2 linked regions of the Xenopus tropicalis genome follow. The protein of the gene in region 2 binds, or shares a complex with, the protein of the main gene of each other region. Links are inferred from orthologs where the notes say so. Each region holds a gene or a part of one and is shown on either strand. Other genes may lie near its edges.

Region 1 (4,352 bases), on a different chromosome or scaffold from region 2:
ATAAATGTGTAACGTGTAGCTGGACTCCATACATAGTAGGGGGGTGGGTGGTGGTCGCAGCAACAGCTTTTGTGTTTGGTTTGTCCCTAGGGTGCGGTTCTCTGATGGGCCCCAGGTACCCCAGTTCGACACTGGTTTTCTGGGGGTCTGTGTATAGTTAGGGGGGGGGTTACTGCACATAATACACTGACAGGGGGCTCTGTGTGCAAAAGCTGAGTTGCAGACGAGAAATCCTTATGCGCTATTTTCATTTTGGGGTCAGTACATACCGCAGACTTTGGTATATCTATGCATATTGGGCATCAAACTGTTCAGTAGGCCATTGGCCATTCATATTTAGGGTGATTTGTCATTGTATGTGTAGGGACCCATAGGGTTAATATGCCCCTATGATGTTAAACCCTACCTTTCCTTTTCTTCCTTGTCACTAGGCAGGATTTACCCCACATAAAATGCAGTAAATATGTTGATTGTGCAGTAACTAAAATGACAGATCATATGGGGGGGCATTTTTATTTTGGGGCCCCTACATGCCCTATACTTATGTAAACCTATGCACAATATACATAGTAACATAGTAAGTTAGGTTGAAAAAAGACGTACGTCCATCACGTTCAACCATAATGCCTATATATAACCTGCCTAACTTCTAGTTGATCCAGAGGAAGGCAAAAACCCCATCTGAAGCCTCTCTAATTTGCCCCAGAGGGGAAACGATTCCTTCCTGACTCCAAGATGGCACAATGGGCATCAAACTGTTCAGTGGGCCTGTTGCTGATGACATTTAGAAGCCTATATCTTGTTACAGAATCAGGGATTCTCATTGGAGAATTGTTTTGCATTATAAAGCAGTTGCTGGCTGTGGAGATTTGGGGAATAGTTTTATTGTGCAATACTGCTTTAAAAATGCAATCCTGATGTTGCTAGACTACAGCTCCCAGCATGCTTGAACTATCATATATTACATTATTCTGGGATTTATAGTCCAGCAACAACTAAATAAAGTTTGGTTGAGCAGTGCAGCAAGGTTTACAACCCCTTAACATTCATCAATGCAAAGCAACGTATCCCTTGGTCAGACTGTGATTGCTGTAAACAGCTGAATGCCATTCTGATGAATGGGGGTGTTAGATCCCAGGGTAGCCCAGAGCTTTAACACCCTCCTGAATCAAAGCAAACTAATGTAGCAATGAAAAAATACCCAACACTTACCCAAGAGGCGGATGCATTGTGATCCAGAGGTTTGGTGGGCACACATACAGGGTGGGCCGCCTTGTCAGGGGGTAGTCCATACTCATGGCGCAGACCCTGCTTTGGGCTTTCCAGGAACACCAGGCGTGGTTTGCTTGCGTTGTATGAGGTCTGCTTCTTACGAGGCATCGGCAGTTAATGGCAGGAACGCCAGCAGCCACATGGTGCTAAGGGGCAATAAACAAATGGCTGTATCCAGGAAAATCAGCCCTAAGGCACAAAAACAGAGGGACAGCAGGATTAGTATGAGGTGCAGAACACTGACAGGCAGTGGGCAAATAAGCCTCCCATTAAATAAGCCAATGGGATTTTACAGGCAAAGCCAAAAAGGTTTGATCTAAAATAGATCAAACCTTTTTGGCTTTGCCTGTAAAATCCCACTGCCTTATTTTTAGATTCTAAATCCTTATACTTGCTGCTGGTACAGGTATAGGACCCATTATCCAGAATGCTCGGGACCAAGGGTATTCCGGATAAGGGATCTTAGTTGGGATCAAGTACAGGTACTGTTTTATTATTACAGAGAAAAGGGAATCATTTAACCATTAAATAAACCCAATAGGGCTGTTCTGCCCCCAATAAGGGGTAATTATATCTTAGTTGGGATCAAGTACAGGTACTGTTTTATTATTACAGAGAAAAGGGAATCATTTAACCATGAAATAAACCCAATAGGGCTGTTCTGCCCCCAATAAGGGGTAATTATATCTTAGTTGGGATCAAGTACAGGTACTGTTTTATTATTACAGAGAAAAGGGAATCATTTAACCATTAAATAAACCCAATAGGGCTGTTCTGCCCCCAATAAGGGGTAATTATATCTTAGTTGGGATCAAGTACAGGTACTGTTTTATTATTACAGAGAAAAGGGAATCATTTAACCATTAAATAAACCCAATAGGGCTGTTCTGCCCCCAATAAGGGGTAATTATATCTTAGATGGGATCAAGTACAGGTACGGTTTTATTATTACAGAGAAAAGGGAATCATTTAACCATTAAATAAACCCAATAGGGCTGTTCTGCCCCAATAAGGGGTAATTATATCTTAGTTGGGATCAAGTACAGGTACTGTTTTATTATTACAGAGAAAAGGGAATCATTTAACCATTAAATAAACCCAATAGGGCTGTTCTGCCCCCAATAAGGGGTAATTATATCTTAGTTGGGATCAAGTACAGGTACTGTTTTATTATTACAGAGAAAAGGGAATCGTTTAACCATTAAATAAACCTAATAGGGCTGTTCTGCCAGGGATCAAGGGATCAAGTACAGGTACTGTTTTATTATAACAGAGAAAAAACAAATCAGGTTTAAAAATTCTGAATTATTTGATTAAAATGGAGTCTATTCGGAGCTTTCTAGATACCGGGTTTCCGGATAAGGGGTCCCATACCTGTACGTTAGCCAAGCTCTGAGTGCTACAGTCATTAGTCTCTGCCTCCTGTCATACCATGAGTTACCCACAGATGGCGCTCCCAACATGACGGCTCCGATTCCGTTTAAAACAAACAGGTCCAATCAGCATGTTCCCCACCAATCAATTTGTTATCCACAACTGCACCCACAACCCACCGACAGCTACAAACCCTTAATAAGCGGACAGGTAGCCCCCGAACATTCCGGCCCAGCGCTGTAATATCCCCTTCTTTCCGGGATACGTTAGGGCTTCTCTCTTTCCCCGACACCGATTGGCTACGGCGAGCGTTCTATAACTCGCTCATTATGATTGGCTCTTTGCCAAAGGAACTCGTTGATTGATTGCGCGATTGGTCGAGAGATGCGTGACGCGCTAGGGACGCGCTGTGGATTGGTCGATGTGGTCACGTGGGTTTAAGCGGGCCCGAAAGCGCGAAAATTCAAAAACCACGGAAAGGCCCGATATTGACACCGTCTTATAAACAGGTATTTAGATCGGGTTAGATCGTCATCGGACGTGAAGTTGGGGCTGTGTGTGTATGAGGGTGGGTGCAAGGCTTGTGTAGAAGGAGCATGGAGGCCTGTGGGTGTAGGGGGTGTCAGTTCTCAATATGGAACTGTCATGTTCCACTCTATGGAAGCCGCTGTTGTTCAACTACAACCCACCTGTAATGTCTTAATGGTCTTTTGGGGGAGGGGGTGTCCTGCAATGGTTCAGCCACATATTTTATATATATATATATATATATATATATATATGGGCCCTATCTGCCCATGGCAACTTTATCTCCCAATTGTGAAAATGTATCCTGTTTTCTGGCTTTAGTGCGCCCATATAATGAGGTTGTTGGGTTATACAATGGCTTTGCCTTCTGTCTGCCTCACCCTCCTCCTCCATCAATTCAATGGGTAATGAGTGACCTATTCAGTGAATGAGGAGGGGACAGGGGCTTTAACAATCAGTAAAGGGGGGTGCTAGAGCCATTGTCGCTCACTCTGTAGCAGTGCGGGTGTTATTAGGGAATTAGTATAGGTTGGAAAATAAAGTTAGAAACACACGAGAAGGGATCTCTAACCCCCTTGTATCACATATACAGCAAGAACCTAACAGAATAACGTTCTAGCTGGTCCAGTTCTCCTTACTAACCAATCAGAGCAGCAGGGAGTTCATTATGAAGGATGCTGTACCATAAATGCCTGTAATCCTTCCTCTTTGTTCCATAGCCCCAAGCAAATCATTCTATGCATCAGCTGCTGTATTGCTGGGGGGTCCCGCAATGGGTCAGTAAGGCCACTTGCCCAGCTACTGTATATTTGGGCACTATCTGCCGCTGGCACTGTGCTAGTGATGAAACCACGCAGCCATGGCAACTTTATTTACAAATTGAGGATATTTAACATGTTTTCTGGCTTTAGTGCAAAAAAAGGGAAAGTTGTGCTGACCATTACATTTTAAACCAGGGGGTCCTCAAACTACGGCCCCCCACGGGCATTTACCTACCCCTGCTGTGTCCTCACCCCTGGCTACTACCTGTCTGCCTCAGCGTGGCCCTCGCTGGACACATTAGCATCGGCGGGTGTGACAGGGTAACGTGATGCAGCCAAGGACCACGCTGAGGCAGGCCAGTTATAGCCAGGGGTGTGGGACAAACTATAGTCTGGCCCCCCAACAGTCTGAGGGAC
Region 2 (4,573 bases):
GCCAGTGTTTCTCGTGGACTTTACCATTAATTTCCCAGCTGCTCTAATCCCACTGCCCACAGCACTAGGAGCTTTTGCCAAGCAACAATAAATAGCCTAATAACCACAAACATTAGAAAAAGGAGACCAGACGTACCTAAAATATGGTTTATCAGGAGACATGATGATCTGCAGGAAATCGCTGGTCATGTCCAGTTCAGCAAATGCTTCTCTAAGTCCTTCTGATTGGAGGATAATTTTATTAAGGACGTTGGTGCTGCAGAAATCAAAGTCCAGAGTCTCCTCGGGTTCCTGTGTGTGGATTTTGCACACTGTCACCACCCCACCTTCTTCTAGAAACAAGACAAGGGGGTGACCGTATCCTTGGTAACACATCTTTAAAGCCGTAGGTGTGCCTATGACGAGACAGAAGTGTAAAGCGCTATAATCAGGACTGCTATGCTTTCAGCCTGACACAGGAACACGTCTACTAAATGGAATAAAAATGTGATTTTCTGATCCTGAGCTGTCTCTAGAGGGCAACAAATCAAATTAAGGGTGATTTTGTGAAAGGAGAATAGTCATTTCCTAATAAGCGTTTCCTGATTGGTGGAGGGAAGGGGAACTTCATGGCACTTAACAGATAACTGTTTAGCAGGATTGTGGGTAGGAGCAGGTGCCCCAGGGCTTACGGCTCAGCCTAAAAGCACCGGGAGTACCAGTTGTTGCTTGCACCCTGTATCTTTCTATAGCTTTACTCACATATAATAAACTAAATTGCATTAAAAGTTAAATCCCACAACAAATAAAGAACCATACAGAGGAGAGGTTATACCTGGCCCAGCGCTAGCACCAAATATCGTAAGACAATCCAGCAGGACGGTCAGATTGATCCGAAACACGACAGACTCCTCTCGGATATTGAATTCTTGAAAGATTCCAGCCTGTGAGAAAGGGAAACAAAGAAGGGTGAGCTGAGTGTTCACAAACAATGTAAAGTGCCAAATATATCCACAAGCCCGAATGACTGAATAGAATGGAGCCCGAGGTACCGCACTGCATAGCAGGCAGCCATCATTAGAGAATCATGTCTTGGGCTCTGGAGAAAATATTACATAAGTAATGGGTAGGAATGCCAGGTTGGAATACCCAGTCTATAAGTACTGGATAGGAATGCCCGGTCCATAAGTAACAGGTTGGAATACCCAGTCCATAAGTACTGGATAGAAATACCTGGTCCATAAGTAACAGGTTGGAATACCTGGTCCATAAGTAACAGGTTGGAATACCTGGCCCATAAGTAACAGGTTGGAATACCTGGCCCATAAGTAACAGGTTGGAATACCTGGCCCATAAGTAACAGGTTGGAATACCTGGCCCATAAGTAACAGGTTGGAATACCTGGCCCATAAGTAACAGGTTGGAATACCTGGCCCATAAGTAACAGGTTGGAATACCTGGCCCATAAGTAACAGGTTGGAATACCTGGCCCATAAGTAACAGGTTGGAATACCTGGTCCATAAGTAACAGGTTGGAATACCTGGTCCATAAGTAACAGGTTGGAATACCTGGTCCATAAGTAACAGGTTGGAATACCTGGTCCATAAGTAACAGGTTGGAATACCTGGTCCATAAGTAACAGGTTGGAATACCTGGTCCATAAGTAACAGGTTGGAATACCTGGTCCATAAGTAACAGGTTGGAATACCTGGTCCATAAGTAACAGGTTGGAATACCTGGTCCATAAGTAACAGGTTGGAATACCTGGTCCATAAGTAACAGGTTGGAATACCTGGTCCATAAGTAACAGGTTGGAATACCTGGTCCATAAGTAACAGGTTGGAATACCTGGTCCATAAGTAACAGGTTGGAATACCCGGTCTATAAGTAATGGATAGGAATACCCGGTCCATAAGTACTGGATAGGAATACCTGGCCCATATTTACTGGATAGGAATACTTGGCCCATATTTACTGGATAGGAATACTTGGCCCATAAGGACTGGATAGGAATACCTGGCCCATAAATAATTGATAGGAATACCTAAACTGGTTACATGCAAGTGGCCCCTCAGATGTAACAGTATTGCTGTGGGACTTATGGGGGGATCTCCCTCAGCTTGCCCTGCTCCCTGCGTATACATTAGCTCACACATAATCAGGGGCTTAGGGTGTAAGCGCTGGATAAGGGAATAAGCCCCGCTACCTGAATGAAGGCGTTGGCCTGCAGACATTTAGCATTTTCCACCGTGACTTTAAGGCCATTGTTGGTAGCAAAGCAGGACGCGTGATCCTTGAAGTGAATGGCTTTCAGAATGTTGGACAGGTTCCTGGCGTTGTCCAGGCTGCAGGTTAACACGTACTGCTCATCGTCCACTTCAGGCTGCGTCAGGAAAGGCATACCCAGGGCCCTGTAATAATAATAAGTGATTTATTTAATGTTTAAATGTTTTTAGTAGCCTTAAGGTACAGTAATCTAAATTATTATTATTATTAGATCATATATAGAAATAGAGAGAAAGTCCTTTTCAACAATATAAACGTGCCCTTCAATGTGTGTTTTTTAATAAGTGGGTGGAGCTATAGAGGGCGGAGCCTATTAACAAACACATGGAAGCAAGTGAAAATAAGTACCACAGTAATGTTCAAACCTTTGGATTCAGCCAAGTATCGAATCATCCAAAAATGATTAGAAAATGTTTACTGCACTACAACTCCCAGCAGTCTTCAGTATACAATAAGGGTGATGGGCCAAAAAACATCTGGGAAGTCCTAAACACAGGGAAGAATAGTGAAGCTGCACAGTGAGCCGCGGATAGTAAGGGTTGGAGGGCCGCGGATAGTAAGGGCTGGAGGGCCGCGGATAGTAAGGGCTGGAGGGCCGCGGATAGTAAGGGCTGGAGGGCTGGATGGCAGTAAGGGCTGGAGGGCCGCGGGCAGTAAGGGCTGGAGGGCAGTAAGGGCTGGAGGGCCGCGGGCAGTAAGGGCTGGAGGGCAGTAAGGGCTGGAGGGCCGCAATGACACATTTACTGCTTCCCCCCAGTAAGTAATAATCACCCCGCTACCTGCAGGTGGGAGCAGAGCGGCTGCGCACTGGAGCAAACCAAGCACGTCAGAACGCACCGGAAGTCTTGGTTGCCCTGGTAACCGTCTGCCCACAGGAAACTGCTTCCTCAGTCACCCCTACCTCAGAGCCACTTCCGGTTCCGGTCCGCACGTGTAGCCCTGACAGAGCCGGCAATGAGGTGCCACTACGAAGTGCTGGGGGTCCGCAGGGACTGCTCGGATGAGGATCTGAAGAAGGCTTACCGGAAGCTGGCTCTGCGCTGGCACCCAGGTGAGACGCTAGGGGCACTGGGGCTGCTGGGCATGCTGGGAGATATTCTTATTAGCATTGCTATAACACTCAGCTGTGCTTCAGTCCCGCCCCCACAGGAGCTTCCCCTCTGCTGTTCCTATTCCAGTCACACTGACACCAGCTGGGGAGGGTTTGGGGTGAGGTAGGAACACTAGTTAGGGACACTCAGGTGGCTGAATGGGGGGAGTGGGAGGGCTGAAGCAGTGAGCCCAGACTAACAATGACTTGGCTGCAGCCATCTAACTGCCCAGGGTATACTGTAAGAAAAACTCAATGGCTGTCCCGGAATTCTGGGAGTTGTAGTTCAGAGAGGGTAGATTACAGGACTGTTCAGTTACAGTGTAGAATGGCATAGGGAGACCAAGGTAAGGATGGGGCTAATCTAATGCAGAGCGCATTGTGTGTATGTATATGTTTATTTATAAAGTGCTACTTATGTACACAGCGCTGTACAGTAGAATACATTAATACAAACGGGGGGTTATTAAGATAATAATAGATAAATACAAAGTATAACAATAAATACAAATAAATACAAGATACAGTTGCAATAAGTTAAGAGTCAAAGACACAAGAGGATGGAGGTCCCTGTTCCGCAGAGCTTACAATCTATATGGAGGTATTGCACAGAAGGAACTTGCAGGAGGCGCTGGAATGTGCTTGCCGTGTTTAAAATGAAGCTTTCATAATCATGTTCTAACGGGAAGGGTTAATTCCACATTCAGGACAATGTGCAGCTCAGTGCAACTTTTATTCATGATCATTTACTCAGTTGATGGAAGGGCCTATCCCCCATTTACTGGCTGTGGGTATGAGGGTGCCAGCTAGAAATTTAGTCTGGAAACTATTTCTGCCTACCAGTGGCTACTCCCCTTGTTGTATTTGTAAGTGGGTGTCTGTGTGGGTCTAAGCCAAACAAACACGTACAGTTCTCTAATAAGGGTTAAAAAGATAAACATCAAAGTATTTCCCTCTATTCCCTTATGAATGTATCGCTGACAGTGTAAAAGACATTGGGAGTATCCTGAATCCATCACTTGTATTTTTCCAGATAAGAACTTGGACAACTCAGAGGAAGCTGCCGAGCAGTTTAAATTAATCCAGGCTGCCTACGATGTTATTAGTGATCCCCAGGAGCGAGCTTGGTGAGTTATCAGCTTATGTTGGGAGGTAATAGGACAAACCCTTTATTTTGCCTGTATTTTTATAGGAAACTAAAGCCCTTGATTATACCA

Evidence for each region.
Region 1: the proteins of rad1 (region 2) and rhno1 are in contact, whole or in part, in a crystal structure (PDB 6J8Y), measured with the Homo sapiens proteins. The link is inferred for Xenopus tropicalis from reciprocal best matches to the Homo sapiens genes RAD1 and RHNO1. Residues at the interface, in NP_002844.1 of Homo sapiens: Asn47, Gly48, Ile49, Lys50, Phe64, Ile65, Gln66, Ser149, Lys155, Ile157, Glu211, Ala212, Lys240, Val241, Ser242, Arg244, Gln254, Tyr255, Met256, Phe266, Glu268; in NP_001239428.1 of Homo sapiens: Ser55, Trp56, Val57, Ser58, Pro59, Asp60, Phe61, Asp62, Thr63.

The regions. Positions count from the first base shown.
Region 1 is NC_030679.2:10,384,799-10,389,150, reverse strand, and holds the start of rhno1 (RAD9, HUS1, RAD1-interacting nuclear orphan protein 1), read right to left. Parts: upstream 2,944-4,352; 5' UTR 2,840-2,943; exon of another isoform or gene 2,647-2,839; intron 1,462-2,646; exon of another isoform or gene 1,419-1,461; 5' UTR 1,381-1,418; coding exon 1,213-1,380; intron 1-1,212. UniProt on the Homo sapiens protein: Involved in microhomology-mediated end-joining (MMEJ) DNA repair by promoting recruitment of polymerase theta (POLQ) to DNA damage sites during mitosis.
Region 2 is NC_030677.2:199,174,678-199,179,250, reverse strand, and holds the start of rad1 (cell cycle checkpoint protein RAD1), read right to left. Parts: upstream 3,047-4,573; 5' UTR 2,931-3,046; exon of another isoform or gene 2,891-2,930; 5' UTR 2,632-2,890; intron 2,392-2,631; exon of another isoform or gene 2,391-2,391; 5' UTR 2,382-2,390; coding exon 2,187-2,381; intron 924-2,186; coding exon 815-923; intron 396-814; coding exon 137-395; intron 1-136. Other genes in the region: dnajc21 (dnaJ homolog subfamily C member 21), read left to right, coding at 3,221-3,317, 4,390-4,483. UniProt on the Homo sapiens protein: Component of the 9-1-1 cell-cycle checkpoint response complex that plays a major role in DNA repair. The 9-1-1 complex is recruited to DNA lesion upon damage by the RAD17-replication factor C (RFC) clamp loader complex.